Linked DNA regions of Arabidopsis thaliana. The protein of the gene in region 1 interacts with the protein of each later gene in a pairwise test. Each region holds a gene or a part of one and is shown in the gene's direction. Other genes may lie near its edges. The genes, in order: AT1G76870, ARR3, AT2G12646 and AT5G56840.

The links.
Region 2: the proteins of AT1G76870 (region 1) and ARR3 interact in a two-hybrid assay, tested with the Arabidopsis thaliana proteins (one large-scale study listed by BioGRID).
Region 3: the proteins of AT1G76870 (region 1) and AT2G12646 interact in a two-hybrid assay, tested with the Arabidopsis thaliana proteins (one large-scale study listed by BioGRID).
Region 4: the proteins of AT1G76870 (region 1) and AT5G56840 interact in a two-hybrid assay, tested with the Arabidopsis thaliana proteins (one large-scale study listed by BioGRID).

What each region holds. Positions count from the first base shown.
Region 1 is NC_003070.9:28,854,968-28,859,363, forward strand, and holds AT1G76870 (transcription factor), read left to right. Parts: upstream 1-1,871; 5' UTR 1,872-2,035; intron 2,036-2,258; exon of another isoform or gene 2,259-2,280; 5' UTR 2,281-2,282; coding exon 2,283-3,440; 3' UTR 3,441-3,884; downstream 3,885-4,396. Other genes in the region: LSM3B (Small nuclear ribonucleoprotein family protein), read right to left, coding at 122-217, 554-670.
Region 2 is NC_003070.9:22,065,093-22,068,812, reverse strand, and holds ARR3 (response regulator 3), read left to right. Parts: upstream 1-1,579; 5' UTR 1,580-1,641; coding exon 1,642-2,092; intron 2,093-2,169; coding exon 2,170-2,246; intron 2,247-2,318; coding exon 2,319-2,396; intron 2,397-2,475; coding exon 2,476-2,546; intron 2,547-2,624; coding exon 2,625-2,919; 3' UTR 2,920-3,196; downstream 3,197-3,720. Other genes in the region: AT1G59950 (NAD(P)-linked oxidoreductase superfamily protein), read left to right, coding at 1-147, 553-780. UniProt on the Arabidopsis thaliana protein: Functions as a response regulator involved in His-to-Asp phosphorelay signal transduction system. Phosphorylation of the Asp residue in the receiver domain activates the ability of the protein to promote the transcription of target genes.
Region 3 is NC_003071.7:5,166,433-5,170,848, reverse strand, and holds AT2G12646 (PLATZ transcription factor family protein), read left to right. Parts: upstream 1-1,545; 5' UTR 1,546-1,826; coding exon 1,827-1,829; exon of another isoform or gene 1,830-1,983; coding exon of another isoform or gene 1,984-1,986; intron 1,987-2,061; coding exon 2,062-2,307; intron 2,308-2,388; coding exon 2,389-2,529; intron 2,530-3,289; coding exon 3,290-3,670; 3' UTR 3,671-3,865; downstream 3,866-4,416. UniProt on the Arabidopsis thaliana protein: Probable transcription factor that plays a central role in mediating RGF1 hormone peptide signaling leading to the production of reactive oxygen species (ROS) in roots to modulate meristem size and root growth, probably via oxidative post-translational modification of the transcription factor PLETHORA (e.g.
Region 4 is NC_003076.8:22,978,899-22,982,951, forward strand, and holds AT5G56840 (myb-like transcription factor family protein), read left to right. Parts: upstream 1-1,739; 5' UTR 1,740-1,890; coding exon 1,891-2,158; intron 2,159-2,481; coding exon 2,482-2,681; intron 2,682-3,020; coding exon 3,021-3,254; 3' UTR 3,255-3,527; downstream 3,528-4,053.

The sequences.
Region 1 (4,396 bases):
GAAAGCTAAAAGACACTTGTACACTTGTTCTCTAACAATATCCTTAACTTGAGATAGAAACTCATCAAGATCCCCCTCAAATACCTATAAAGTTAACTATTGAGTAAGAAAAAGCACGTACCCGAACAATCTCTTCATATGTCTCGTCATCGATTTCTACTGTAGTGATAGTTTCTTCAACATCACCCAGAATCATATTCAAATGCTGATCAAACGCCTGCCCAAAGAATTAACAACAACAACAACATCAAACCTAAGTGAGTAACTCAAGAGTGTAGAAATCTTCCAAAATTTAAGAACTTTGTCAAAATTAAATTTACACAAACCATAAATTCCCAATTGCAAGCTCATCGCCATAACTCGAGAAAACGTTTTTAGAAACTGAAACTTGAAAATCAAAACCCTAGACTTTCCCCCAAAAAAGGACCAAATTCGACACCAAAACAGTGAAATCGGCAAAATAAAGTTACAAAATTCAAACGAACTATGTGTGGAACGAGTATTTTAAGTAGTGACAAGTTCAAGGTACTAAGCAGGGCACAAGAAAACGTACGTGAAGCTTGCCGCGAAGTTCGCGGTCTGACCGGAGCTTGACATAGATTCTCTCGTCGAGACTCAGCCTAATCAGATCTAGTGGCTCCCTCACGGTGGCTTCTTCCTCGCCGGACATCGTGTAGACAGAGATACCTTCCCACCTGAAACACTTCTCGGAGGGTTTTGGTACCGACGAATCGTATAACCGGACACAAACTCTGATCTCGCGGACACGAACTTAACAATTTTGTTCTACGAATAAGATTTTACAAATATATGGCAACAGCCCAACAGAATATTAGGCCCATAAACGAACGTTGGCGAAAAAATGTTTTTTTTTTCAAAACTATCGGCATATTTTATTATTTCAAAGATTATCAATGGGTTCTACTAGCTAGGTTCTACTTCTACCTTGAGAAAATTGAGTTGAGGTCTTGTATGTATAGATATTTCAGTAAACAAATATTAATGTTAGATTTTAATTTTAAAATGTAAATTAAGATATTAAATTTGACGTTTTGTACTTCGATTCGTTTGTTTTCTACTTACAAGCGTTTCACAACTTTTTTCGAGTTGTAACGCTTGACAGTTTCACAAAGTAAGCATACGTGTAAAATAGAATCATTTATTGTGACTAATGTTTTTAACCAAATATGGTATCTTCTAAAACGTGATACCAATCACTTTTTAATCACTATATACAAATTTAAGTTTAATATATTTATATATAAATTTATAACTTTTTTTTATCTGAATTGTAACACTTATTGGTTCCATAAAATAAATATATGTGCGAGAGTATAATAACTTGGACATGATTTGGTGATGAAATTCTACAATATTGTGTTTTTAAAACTCACATTGTATCTACTAAATTTAAATTAATATAAATTTATATGTCCAAACTAAGATAACATAAATTTAAACAATATAGAAGAAGAACGACACTATTGTTAATAATTCGATAAGATACTAAAAAAAAAAAAAATATACACTTTTTAACCTTTTTAATGTGAATTGTAACGCTTCTACAAAATAAGCACACGTGTAAGAGTATAAAAACTTATTGTGGATTTAGTAATGAATCATGAAATGTTGTATTAATGATTCAATAAGGAAGTAAAAAAAAAAAGTTTAAAAAAAAAAACTAATACTTAGATTTCCCTTGACAATCATATCTTTTAATATATAAAAAAACATATAAATTTCAGTTATTTCAAAATTCAAATTCATACTCTACCCATAGTGACTACCAAAATCAATCGTAAATAAATAAATAAAAAAGAAATGGTGGGTCCAAATATCTTCTGATACATTGGACATAAATAACTTTTGTGATTTGTCACTAAAAAAGATTTAGAAACAAGACTCTCTTCTTCTTCTTCCTCTAAATGTTTTGTCCGCCACACGCATTGTCTCAGTGATCAGAGTTCTTCGTCTCTCTACTTGAACTCTCATCTCTAAAACCCTAGACTCTCTCGTCTTCAATCGTTTTAAAAAGGTCCGTTTAGTTTTAGCATGAAATTTTCTCTAAAGATAAGTTTTTTTTTTCGTCTTTTGTTAGCGATGTTTTATAGTTTATCGAATTCGTAGTGTTTGATTGCGATTGCTCTGTTTACAAGCTTACTTTGATCGGATGATTTAGGTTTCATATTTGGAGAAATCCATCTAAGAAAAGTTTGATTTTGAGGAGAAAGACTGAATTTTTATTTTCTCTGATTCAGATTTTTCTTTTGGAAACTGTAGAAATGGAAGGAAATTGCTCGCAAGGACGCTTTGATTCTCAAGTTTCTTCTATGAGAGATCTTCGTCCAAATGCTATAAATCAGAATCAGAAACAACACCATCCAAATTCTCGACAAGACTCAGGCTTTAACAATACTATGGATACACGTCACAACAATGTCGACAGAGGAAAGAAATCAATGAGTGAAGATGATGAACTATGTTTGTTAAGTAGTGATGGTCAAAACAAGTCCAAGGAAAACTCTCCTTGGCAACGTGTGAAATGGATGGATAAGATGGTGAAGCTAATGATAACTGCTCTTTCTTATATCGGTGAAGACTCTGGTTCTGATAAGAAATTTGCAGTTTTGCAGAAGAAAGGTAAGTGGAGATCAGTTTCTAAAGTCATGGATGAAAGAGGTTATCATGTTTCGCCGCAGCAATGTGAAGATAAGTTTAATGATCTTAATAAGCGGTATAAGAAGCTTAATGAGATGCTTGGTAGAGGAACTTCTTGTGAGGTTGTTGAGAATCCTTCACTCTTGGATAAGATTGATTACTTGAATGAGAAAGAGAAAGATGAAGTTAGGAGAATCATGAGCTCTAAACATCTTTTCTATGAAGAGATGTGTTCTTATCATAACGGAAACAGATTGCATTTGCCTCATGACCCTGCGGTACAGAGATCTCTTCACTTGATTACGCTTGGAAGCCGTGATGATCATGATAATGATGAACATGGGAAACACCAAAACGAAGATCTTGATGATGATGATGACTATGAGGAAGATCATGATGGAGCTTTAAGTGACCGTCCTTTGAAGAGGTTAAGACAAAGCCAGAGCCATGAAGATGTTGGTCATCCGAATAAGGGTTATGATGTCCCTTGCTTGCCTCGTTCCCAAGCTGATGTGAATCGAGGAATATCGCTAGATAGTAGGAAAGCTGCTGGCTTACAGAGGCAGCAGATTGAGTCTAAGTCTTTAGAGTTAGAAGGACGAAAGCTTCAGATTCAAGCGGAGATGATGGAACTGGAGAGACAACAATTCAAGTGGGAGGTGTTTAGTAAGAGAAGAGAGCAGAAGCTTGCGAAAATGAGAATGGAAAACGAAAGGATGAAACTTGAGAATGAAAGGATGAGTCTTGAACTGAAACGAATAGAGTTGGGTGCTAAATTGTGAAGAGTCTTAGGAATTAAGGATCAAAGAAATTAATCAGAAAAAGTTGCAACAATGATTGGCAATCTAATCAGTTGCTTAACTTTGCAGTAGACATTATTATTAGCTAAGGTTTAAAGTTTGAGGTAAGAAATATTTTCATATTTTCAGATGTAATATTCTTATAGAAAGTGGTTCTGTTCTCTATGCTTGATTATGTCCTCATTGTCCTGTAAGTATCAACGACAGTGACAAGAACTGAGAGTAACTATTCAAAACTCCAACCTCTAAATTGGCTCTCTTTAGCCTTGGAGCTTTTAGGTAATTGAAGAATCTTTTATTTTCATAGGCGGAAAAAGAAACCTAAAGCTTGGGCCAAAAATGTTGTTTGGGCTAGTAAGAAGAAACAAATTAGGCCATGCCATTATGCTTAGTTGCTTACTGATGTAATACCCACTTGAATAAAAGGAAACTTTCATGACTTTTTTTTTATAATCAAGCCTTTCGTAACAAAGTGAAATAAGAAATGTGTGATCGAAATTTCAGAAAAAAGGCAAAAGAAGAATGTGAAGTTTGTGTTTTTTTTTTTATCCATCTTTCACCTCTTTATTGCCCTTTCCTTGTTCACAAGAGCCTCTCCGAGCTCTCTCTTTATCTTTCAAATTTGTTTTGCCTTTTCTTCTTTTCATTTCTTTTTTTTCCATATTATCATTACAAAAATGGTTCTTATTTGACCAAGAACGCATTAAAAGATGACATTCACTTATATTTGAAGGGAAATTCGTAAAATCAACATTTTAACAGTGAATTTGCTTCAGTCGTACATTAAAAACAAACAAGCTTTTATTTGACGCTATTATTACCTTCAAATTTTCATGTTCCAACTCCAACTCATCACCTAATTTTTAATCTTTAAAATTACCTTTTTAAGCTAGATAAATCAGAGGCTAATGACAACATCAAAGTACACAAGAATGGTA
Region 2 (3,720 bases), 6.8 Mb from region 1:
CTGAGGGAGTTATGTAAGTCGAAAGGCATTGTTGTGACAGCTTATTCGGTGTTGGGATCGAGAGGAGCGTTTTGGGGAACTCACAAAATCATGGAGTCTGATGTTCTCAAAGAAATTGCTGAGGCAAAGGGAAAAACAGTAGCTCAGGTACTCTCCAAAGACAGTTTTAAAATTATTTACGAAAACATTTTTAAATTTCTTTTAACGTATAAATATTAAAAAAAACAGTCGTAATTTAAAGGAAAATTTTGTTAATTACAGAAAATATTTTAACAAATCGGTAAACAAAAGTCATTGTTATATTCATTTGAAAATTAGTTTTATTTTTATTGTGATAATGGCTAAAACTATCTTTATGCGATATTTAATTTTGGACTATTGACTTATTTATTTGTTTGATACATTTTTATATTGTGCACTCACTCTCGTTGACCCAAAAAAAAAAAAAAAAAAAACTCACTCTTTAAACGGGTAATAGAGTGATGTGGAGAAGTTTTGGGGAATGAAAGTATTTAAAGCTCATTTTTAGAGTTGTAATAGACAATTGACTAGGTGAGTATGAGATGGGCTTACGAGGAAGGAGTGAGCATGGTGGTGAAGAGCTTTAGGAAAGACAGATTGGAAGAGAATCTGAAGATATTTGATTGGTCTTTGACAGAGGAGGAGAAACAGAGAATCTCGACGGAGATTTCTCAGAGCAGGATCGTTGACGGAGAGGTTTACATCTCGGAGAAAGGTCCTATAAAATCTGTCACCGAGATGTGGGACGGTGAGATCTGATCACTATGTGTGAATTATGGGGCAGTTGTAATATAATGTCTTGATTATTTAGTTTGTAAAGTTGCATTAATTTGTTTTGTTAAGTTGCATTTCCAATGTATAACCTTCATAAATGTTGTAGTTGTAAAATAAATGTCTTGATTATTTAGTTTGTAAAGTTGCATTTCTAATTTATAACCTTGAGAAATGTTTCTTCTTATTTTTTTCTTTTGTGAATATGCAAGTCTTTTAAGAGCAATTTTGAGTTTGAAATGTTTCTCCTTTTCTTTTATCTTTTTTTTTTTTTTTTTAATATTTAAGCTTCTTTCAAAGCATGTTACATGGACCCCAAAATCTTTAAACATCTAAATTAATCACATAATGATATGTACAATATCTTGTGAAAAACCTCTGTTCATCATTGCGATAAAGTCTTTCTGAACGGGATTTCTGATAGAAAACGAAAGCTTGATTTTGGATTTTATGTTTCTTTCACTTTGTCTATAAACCTTTTTATTTACTTGTTATGGTTTTGGTCATCATATTTTATGATGGTCTAAGAGTTTGTATTTATAAGTGGAGACAAGACATAGCTATGCATTAGATTTTTCTTCAAATTAAGCTCAAGGGTCCATCAAAATAGAGAGAAGAAAATAAAAATCATTTTCTGAACATAGTAAATGTGTTTTTAACAACAACAACAACAACAACAAAAGCATAGTACATGTGAGAAACAAAAAGACGAATTTGAACATTAAATCAGTAACATACATACCAAACAACCCTTGTTATGGGTTTGGTTGGTAATCCAAGTATATCTATTTAGTACCAATCCTAAAAGTAAGAAGAAGCAAAACCGGTACTTTCTATCTATATCTTATCATGAACTTCGAATTTATCTTTCTTTACCTATTCAGATTAGTTCGCTATTTCTTGCTGCCCCCATCCCAAAAAAGAAAAAAAGGTACGTACCGTTTTGTGTCATTAATCGTCACTTGGAATAAGAAAATATTTTGTAAAAGAAATGAAGTAGAAAATGATCCACCTATAAAAAGATTTGATATAGAAGAGTATAACAACGAAAATATAAAACAAAGTAGAGAGGAACTAGTAGCAATATCTCTCTTCTATCTTTTCATTTCCTACTCTTTTCTCACTATGGCCAAAGACGGTGGCGTTTCTTGTCTACGAAGGTCGGAGATGATCGGTATAGGAATCGGAGAACTTGAATCTCCGCCGCTAGATTCTGATCAAGTCCACGTTCTCGCCGTTGATGACAGCCTAGTTGATCGAATAGTCATCGAAAGATTGCTTCGAATCACATCCTGCAAAGGTTTCTTAACTAGTAATTCTTCCTCTTTCCCCTTTAACATTTTAAAAGCCTTATTCTCCGGCGATGATTCAATGCAGTCACGGCGGTTGATAGCGGATGGCGTGCTCTCGAATTCTTAGGATTAGACGACGACAAAGCCGCCGTCGAATTCGATGTAATCTCTCATAACTCTGTTTTAAAACATTTTGAGATTCTAGATTCTGATCTTGATCTTTATTTTTACCAGAGATTGAAGGTGGATTTGATCATCACTGATTACTGTATGCCTGGAATGACTGGATACGAGCTTCTGAAAAAGATTAAGGTTTCTGAAATTTTCCCGCCATAAAAACAAATTCTGTTACTTTTTTTTTTTTTCAATTCTTGATTTTCTTAAAAAACAGGAATCGACAAGTTTTAAGGAAGTTCCTGTTGTAATTATGTCGTCGGAGAATGTAATGACTCGTATCGACAGGTCAAATCTCTCGCCGGAATCTTTTTTTTTTGATTCCGATTTTGGTGATCGGAAATTTAATCAATAAATCTGTTGTAGATGTCTTGAAGAAGGTGCGGAGGATTTTTTACTAAAACCGGTGAAACTCGCCGACGTGAAACGTCTGAGGAGTTACTTGACGAGAGACGTTAAAGTCGCCGCCGAAGGAAACAAACGGAAGCTGACCACTCCACCGCCGCCGCCTCCGCTCTCAGCCACATCCTCGATGGAATCTTCGGACTCTACGGTGGAATCGCCTCTGTCTATGGTTGACGATGAAGATTCGTTGACAATGTCGCCGGAGTCTGCAACTTCGCTTGTGGATTCGCCGATGAGGAGTCCCGGATTAGCTTAGAGAGATCCGTGTGATAACGATCTCCGTTAACTTTTTACTTTTGACGGTTTTATTGACTGCAACGTTGACTTGAACGCCGTCAGTTTATACTTATAGATCTCTCTCTCTCTTTTTATATCGTTGCACGTGGGGTCTCTTTGCTCACGAAGGAACTTTTATAAAAACAAGTATTGTATTTATTTAATTACGTATATTTGATAATTTTAAAATTAAATAATGTTTCTATTTCTAATAATATCATAATAATCAAATAATGTGTGACAGTTTACCTCTGTGTATTCATATCGTCTGCTAATCACTTTTGAGATTTTGCCAGCGATTAGCATTTATTTGATAGTATGATATCCAATAATGTACCGACTTGAGGATACTTTTCTTTAATCTATAGTCTTTGATATTAAGAACCAAATCTTGTATTATTATGATATATTTTTGAAAATGTACTCTCAAATATTCCGCATGGCTTCTATGAATATTTTCAACTACTTACTCTAGCTACCACTAATTTTTGTGTGATAACTGTCTATTAGAGAAGACTACACAAAATAGTAATAAAATCATTTGCAAACTACACATACTATTGAAACTCGGCTTGTAATATTTACACCTATAATAACTAACAACTTATGTTGAACATGTTGGTGGTCTTTTTAATTTTAATCATTGAATAGGTAGTGGCTAAGTTGGTGACTACGACCACATATTTCACAATCACATGTCGCTAAACCATGACCATGTGGTCACGCATGCATGGCTACGAATTAGAAATGAAAACGGTTGAATAACCATGGTATTATGGGG
Region 3 (4,416 bases), on another chromosome or scaffold:
AGCTCAAATGTTTTATATTAGCATTAAACATCATATTTGATTTTCTTATCCAAAAATAAAAAGTTAAGATATAGTAAATAAAAAAAAACATATCCATACAAATGAGCAAATATGTACTTTAAAATTGTTAAGTAGATGTTGACGGACATGTTGAGGAATATATTTTTGATATGATGATTCATTTAAAAAAAAGAAATATTTTTAAATTTTTATGGAATTTAAAGTTTATATTTGTATTTATTTAAAATAAAAAATAAGAAAATATAATAAAATCATTATTGTTAATTTTACAGTTAAATGAGTTTATATATTTTTTATTTGGTGGAAGATTCTGATTGGTTAGAGAAAAAGGAGGTGAATAAAAGAATTCACCTCTATAAGTAAACCCAAATATTTTTCAAAAATTATAAAACAAGTTAAAAAAATTTGTATCAAACATATTTTACCCAAAACGGAAACAAAAGTTAAAATTATACAAATCATTGCATGTTTAATTATAATTGGCGGTTGTTTTATGCAGAATTGAAATTTTCAACAAAATTTAGTAGAAGATGTAAGATTTGTAAGATAAACTTTAATGTAAATTGCAAGGTAGTATTCCTTAATTTGATTAAACAGCTAATATATAAACATACATTAATACGGTGACGTATAAAATATAATTATCTGCCATAACAAGAAGTACCATTTTAATTGTTTTTTTTTTTACCGGTACCATTTAGACGTTTATGACATTTAAATAGAACAAGTTGGCGTAAGACAGAAGAATCTTTTTCTTGATGTTTTCTTCTTGGGTATTGTAATTAATAAATTACTACCATTATGATTAACCATATGCTCTGTACATTTCTACTCCTATTAGACTGAAATATTATATAATAAAGCATAAAATAAGTTTTTAGTACTAATACCACGACATCAAGAATTTGACGGTGTATAAGTTTCCACGAATCTAAAAATTGGTTCAACCAAAATATATGAGTTTTTAGTAGATAACATTTCTATCGGTAATTAAAGGGTGTAAGGATTGCATTACGAAAATTTGTCGCGTTCATTTTTATCTTTAGCCCAAGTAGGTTGCATTGCATAGCTTCTACTTGGAACACTACTTATTGTAATGTATTACTAGGCAATAATTTGACTAGTCAATCCATATCCATTGTTTATTTAATCTATTATGTCTAAATTTAAGAATCACTAACCTTATATAAATATCTACAACAAGCCTATGTAACTATTTTCTAACAAAGCATACATTACTATTCTATTCACAATGCTTGGACCGATGATACTTAATAGTTTATACTAGTTTTGTATCTTCCTCAATTGGTTAATGAACACCAATATGAGTCTTAACACATCTATCCTTCTCTCTTGTATTTGGTAGATCATAAGAGGAAGAAATAAGGAATTAAAATTGGTGATGGCTACTAGAGACTCTTCTTCACGGAGGGTTTAACCTAATTAAGCTCTTAAGCCAAGGAGATGACCCAATAAATATATGTTTAAAGTAGGAGACACGGAAACAGCTCCCACGTTCCTCACTTTCTCTCTCTTTTTCTTCCCTCTATCTCTCATCTCACCAACACTAATAAACAACAACCAAGTTTATATGATATTTAAAATGTGTAAAAGAGTTATATCTCCGAGGAATAATCAAATATAAGTTTTTTTTTTCTCTCTTTCTCTCTCCCTTGTGATCCTCCATAAATCCTATCATCAAGTACTCCCCTAAAGAATCCTTTTTCTCTTCCTAATATTACTCTTTGTAGTGAGTAGTGGCCAAAAGTTTCCATCTCCCAAAGCTGACTTTCAGTTGAGTCCTCATGGTAGGTTACTACTTCTTCAATTCTATACCATCTTAAGTAGTGAAATTACCTCAATCATCGTACCGAATTCCTTATATTTGTACCCTTTATCCTCATCTTGGCTCCTTGGTACTTAATTATAGATTTAATGGTGGATGTAGGAAACAGTTGAATTATGGTATGAAGTTTTATTTACTTATTTAAGATTGTTTATGAGATAAATATTTTAGAGATTTTGTAAATCATTTGGTAGGGAATTCAGAAACCGGCATGGTTGGATGCGCTATACGCAGAGAAGTTCTTCGTGGGATGTCCATACCATGAGACGGCGAAGAAGAACGAGAGGAACGTGTGTTGTCTTGATTGTTGCACCAGTCTCTGCCCTCACTGTGTACCCTCTCATAGATTCCATAGACTCCTTCAAGTTCGCCGTTATGTGTATCACGACGTTGTTCGGCTTGAAGATCTTCAGAAACTCATCGACTGCTCTAACGTTCAAGTAAGTAATCTATTATACATATATGTATTATCTCATATCTATATATGTATATAAATGGATTGGGTGTTGAATTGTGGATAGGCTTATACAATAAATAGTGCAAAAGTGGTGTTCATCAAGAAGAGACCACAAAATAGACAATTCAAAGGAGCTGGCAACTATTGCACTTCTTGTGACCGAAGTCTTCAAGAACCTTATATCCATTGCTCCTTGGGTTGTAAGGTTATTTCATCTTAACTATATATTACTTCTACATAATATTTGACTCAATTCTACTTGACTATATGATTCGCACTTAGCATATATATAAAATAATTAAATTATGTGATAGTCTAAACTTTATAGATGATTCGTTTCTATGATAGAAACACATGTTCCCCTTTTAACTCGTCCACAAATAGAAATACGAATACATCAACAGGATACTACAACAAGTATACTACCAAATACCCTGATTTTTGTTTTTCAAACGTAAAACATTTTTTATTTTACTTTTGGTTAAAATATTCACACTTTTTTTTTAGTTATCTAACCTGGCTGTCCTTTAAAATGTTTTCAACCCGTAAAGTTTGTTAGTTTCCGCAGATGAGAATCTCAAGAAAAAAAAAAGGATTTATTAAATAACCCGTATATGGCTCGATTTTGAAATCTTGTCCTTCTGAACTAATGTATTTAACAAAAAAAAAAACATGAAGAAATTCTATAAAGGGGAGGCTAACTTTTTTAATAAATAAGTCTATCATTGACCTTGCCATTGGAACTTGGAACTATGTAAATTTGGTGCATAAATACTGTAAATACTCCCATATCATTTGAGCTAGTGGTTTGGCCCTAAGTGTTTTAAGAAACCACCACACTTTCAAATCTTTTCAATGTTGCACTTTGTAATAAATATATCATGTTCTCAGAATAACATCTAAGCTTTTTGAGCATGTAGTAATCTATGTGATTATATAAAAGGTTTTGGTTTATATACATGTAGGTGGACTTTGTGATGAAACGTTACAGGGACATAACCCCATTCCTCAAGCCATGCCACACTCTAACCCTAGGTCCTGACTACATCATCCCACAAGACTTACTGACAGATGATGAAGTGGCGGCCTACGAGACTCCTCGATCAACTGTGGTAGACGGCGATGAGTCCATGAGCTGGTCCTCAGCTTCCTCGGATAACAACAATGCGGGTGCGGCGGCTGCTTATGCCGCAACCACCACCCATGTCGTGAGGAAAAAAAGGACTGGTTTTTGCCTTTGCGCTAAATCGGCTAATAGTTATAAAGAAGTTTCGGAGGATCCTGACGATATTTCTGCTTGCATCAATCGGCGAAAAGGCGTTCCTCAACGATCTCCTCTCTGTTAACGTACTCTTTTCTTCTTTGTTTTTGTTTTCTAATCTTCTTTATTAGTTTCTTTTCACCATATAGTCTTATATGTTACATGTATGGATTCTTGTCGTGCGGTCTCTCTAATAAAGTTTATAATCAGTTTTTTATTTTATTTTATTTTGCTTACGTAGATATTAGTTTAGCATACCTTATAAATTCATAAGAAAAAAATTATCTTATCGCATAATAATATGTTTCTTCTACTCTGGTATCCTCAATATCCCTAAAAGGCCTCAGCCAAGTATTTCTTTTGTCACTTAATATATATCTAACCTAGGTTGAAGTCAATGTAATTTGTCTTTGACATATGAAATTGTACATTTTCGGCTTTCATAGCTTAGATTATCGTTTCAGATTAAATAATATGGAGAATCTGAAATATGAAATTAGATTTGTTTTGGACAGCTCTGATGGTGACTCACGTGGCTCCTAATTCCGAGCTGTGGGATCTTTCATGTTGTTCTAATATTGTTTTTTCATAAGAGCTAATTTTTTTCTACTCATTTTATATATATAAAATACTAAAACTTGAACCCACGAGATTCTCAAAACAATATTATAAATATATACATATATATTTTAAATTGATATTTATTTTTATATTTGTAATTTATGTTAAATATAATAAATATAACTAATTCTGAAAAAATCAGACAGAATCCTATCAATATTGTGAAATAAATTAAGTATTGATTCGTAACTTTCTTATAAACAAGATGAT
Region 4 (4,053 bases), on another chromosome or scaffold:
CGTTGGTGCAAAAGAATCAAAAGATGCTAATGCAGATGCAAAAACAAATGATGATGTTAATGCAGCAGAAAGATCATGTGTTAGCACACTCCGAATCTTATGAGGAGGAGATGACAAAAGTGATCGAGTCTATGGAGAAACACTACTTGAAGAAAAAGTAGTTTTGTTTATTTTTGTTTGGTTTTGGTTTTTTCTTTGTTTGGTGTTCCTGAAAGTTGATTAATTACTGATCATGGATTCATTCATAAAATTCGTCTTTGCATAAATTGTGGACTTCAACTTTTGGTAATTGTGAGACTTCTTACTCGAAACAGAGACTTATTATATTTTGTCACCTCTTAAAACAGAGAAAAACAGAGAAGTATCGATTTAGAGATCAAAAGAATGTGATGTGTGCTGTTATTGTGGATGAAGAGCATTTGCATAATGTTCTAATTTGGTAGTTTTTTTCCTTCAATAATATATGATATAGTGAGCAACATCTTTAGAATATGTTTAGTAAATTTTTGTAAAACAAATTGACCTACCTCACCAAAAACAAACTTCATTGGACCAGAATTAAGTAGCCATTAGGATCAAATCAACAATAATATACTATTTATGTGATGAAATATGAATCCCCATCATTGTCCTATATGAATCAACATTTAATATATTTTAATTAGTCGAATCTTAAAAATGAATCCCAGTCATATTATCTTTATGTATGTAGAAGAAGATATAATCAACATTAAATAGATTATTATAGTACATCAACATGAATACCCCATCTTGTCATATTATATGTATGTGGGATAGAATCAACATGAATCCACATTCAGTATTCAAATTAGAAATGATCGTAGGCTATGACTCTAAAGTTAATTTTAATTTATATGATGAATGCGAGTACCCCCATTATAGATTCATACTATACATTATTTTATATGATCAAATATGAATCATCATCATTGTTCTCCTATACTTGCTCTTCATTCCGAATGTAGCAATAGAATCTCCATATTGCTTTTTACCAATTCTAACCATAAACAATTCATAGATAAATGCATGTTGGGTAGTGCTTTGTCTACTAGTAATTAATAACATTATCGATTACAATATTTGAGCAAATCAGGCAATCTTTAAATAAAAATATGTATACGATGACTCTTCCGTCCAACTAATATATTGAAAATATTATAAGATCCAAATTATTTCATTATTTATATCAAACAAAAACAAGAAATAAATAAGACTTGTCTTTGTTCATGTAAACAAGACCACTTTGTTGTTTGTTTCTCTATTTTACAAATTTGTAAATTATATTTTTGTTATGTTTCTTTCCACATTTTTATTAGGTCATCCAACTACCCACCTCCCCAAAACTATTGGAGGATCCAAGTCCTCTCTCTCTCAACCATATATCTTATATTTCCTTTGCAAAAGGATAGCCTTTATTATTTAATACACATAGATTCCATTATTGTTATGGCTACCTCATTCTATTCTATAAAGCATACATATGAGAAGAAGAAGCAAAATATAGACTATGTGAAAGATAAATGAATATTTCATATTTGTGAGACAAATTAATTAGATTAGAATTAACATTTTGTAGCTAGTCCATATTAGTGATAAATTTCCACTTATAAAGACATATTTTCCTCTTTTGTTTTTTATACGTAAGCTTGTCTTCTTATTGGCTAAAAGTAGAAAACACCAACTTGGACAACATCATTTAAATTATAAAACCCTCCAATAAATAAAACTTGGTTTATCCAATCATCTTATTTCTCTGTGCTCTCCACCATTTTACATAAACCCCAAAATCTCTCTTCATCATCATCATTCATCAACATCATCTCTCTTTCTCTATCTCGCTGTCCCTCCTTCTCTTTCTCATTCATTGCAATGGGCAGAAGATGCTCACACTGTGGAAACGTAGGACATAACTCAAGAACATGTTCTTCTTACCAAACAAGAGTAGTTAGGCTCTTTGGTGTTCATCTAGACACCACAAGCTCTTCTCCGCCGCCTCCTCCTCCTCCCTCGATTTTGGCCGCTGCAATAAAGAAAAGTTTCAGCATGGATTGCTTGCCGGCATGTTCCTCCTCTTCCTCTTCCTTTGCTGGTTATCTCTCCGATGGTCTCGCCCATAAAACACCTGACCGCAAAAAAGGTTACAACTTTGACATATTATGCCACTTTCCGAGTTTTTTTTTACAATAGGATAGTGACGTTTTTTTATTAATCCAAAAGTTCCGGGTATTAGGCCCATAATCGATTTGTATCGGAGATCAAAACATGTTAAACTGGTCATCGGTGGGATTGGTTTTGCCATAAAGATTTTGTACGTATATCCAAGTCGGACCATTTCCTAAAGCATGCAACCGCTATATATATAAGAGTAGTCAAGAAAATGATGTGTCTATAACGCGATCTTTAGCCTAGGATTTTGTTAAAAGTTTTTCCAAAAATAATAATTTGTGTTTCCGTAATTAGGGGTTCCATGGACGGCGGAAGAGCACCGGACGTTTCTAATTGGATTAGAAAAGCTTGGAAAAGGAGATTGGAGAGGAATCTCTAGAAACTTCGTCGTCACAAAATCCCCGACACAAGTGGCAAGTCATGCTCAAAAATACTTTCTCCGGCAAACTACCACTCTCCATCACAAGAGACGCCGCACCAGCCTCTTTGATATGGCAAGTAATTCCAATCTTTTCTCTATACATGCATGACAAAAGAATTTAAACTCTTTGTATCAAACTTTTATGTATTAAATCAAAATGTTTCTGTATCCAACAAAAGTCACATCTTCAAAAGTTCAAACAGAATTTTTATGTTGTTTTAAAAGTTTTCTTTCCAAGTTTTTTTTTCCCACTTAAAATATCGGAATTTTCTAAACCAAAAATTAGTCAAGATTTTAAGTTTAATCTAAGCTTTATTTTAATACCAAGTATATATGAACATATAATTTCTTGTAGAATCCGAAGAAAAAAATAGAAAATAATCTTGAATTGACAAATTTTTATATTCAACAGGTTTCGGCCGGCAATGTTGAAGAAAATAGTACTACTAAGAGGATATGTAATGATCATATTGGGTCGAGCTCAAAGGTTGTTTGGAAACAAGGATTACTCAATCCTCGTCTTGGATATCCAGATCCGAAAGTATCAGTATCCGGCTCGGGTAACTCCGGTGGACTCGATCTTGAGCTGAAGCTTGCGTCCATTCAATCTCCTGAATCGAATATTAGACCTATTAGCGTTACGTGAATCTATATAACACGTTATGATCAGTTTCATTAGAATAATTCAAATGTTTACATATATAATATCTTATCGATCCTATCTAATTTGATTTTGATTTAACGTTAGTTACTTTGATAATTTCGTCGATATTGTTTTTTTGGTTTTTTCATTGTGAGATTTTTTGTCTTGGAAGTTGGATCCATACATATTTCTGTAAAACTTTATATTTAAGGTATATATATCTAGCGCTCATAAAAGTTTCAATATTCCTATTATACTTTTAATAAGAAAGTTTCTTACGATAGAATTAGAACGGATAAGACAATTTTGTACATAGTACAACTTGTTTGAAGTTTCTTGTTTTCTAGTTCATTAAATATTTCAAGATTCGTTTTTAAAAAAAATATTCTTTTCGAAATGTGTTTCAAAAATTTAGAATACTTTTAACATATCTAAAAATTTAGAATACTTTTAAAATTTCGTTTTTAACAGAATACTTTCACATTGTTAGTTTTCTGTTAATAAAACAATAAACACGAGTTTCAAACATAATGTAAAGATAACTTTAAGAACTGATATTGAGTCCACAAGAGCTCAATAATATTTAACACTGAATCCACTTTAACACAAAACCAAGGGTCTTTCTCAGAATTGTTATAATTTTGTTGTTGGCGAAAAAGAAAAAAGAAACAAAAAGGTCACATTTTTTACATTTCTATATTTAGTGCAAGTTGTTTAATAGTGACACTACTATTGGAAATGACCCAAAGTGACTGGACGACAAGATATTATATTATTTATGATTTTGATATATACTTCCTCT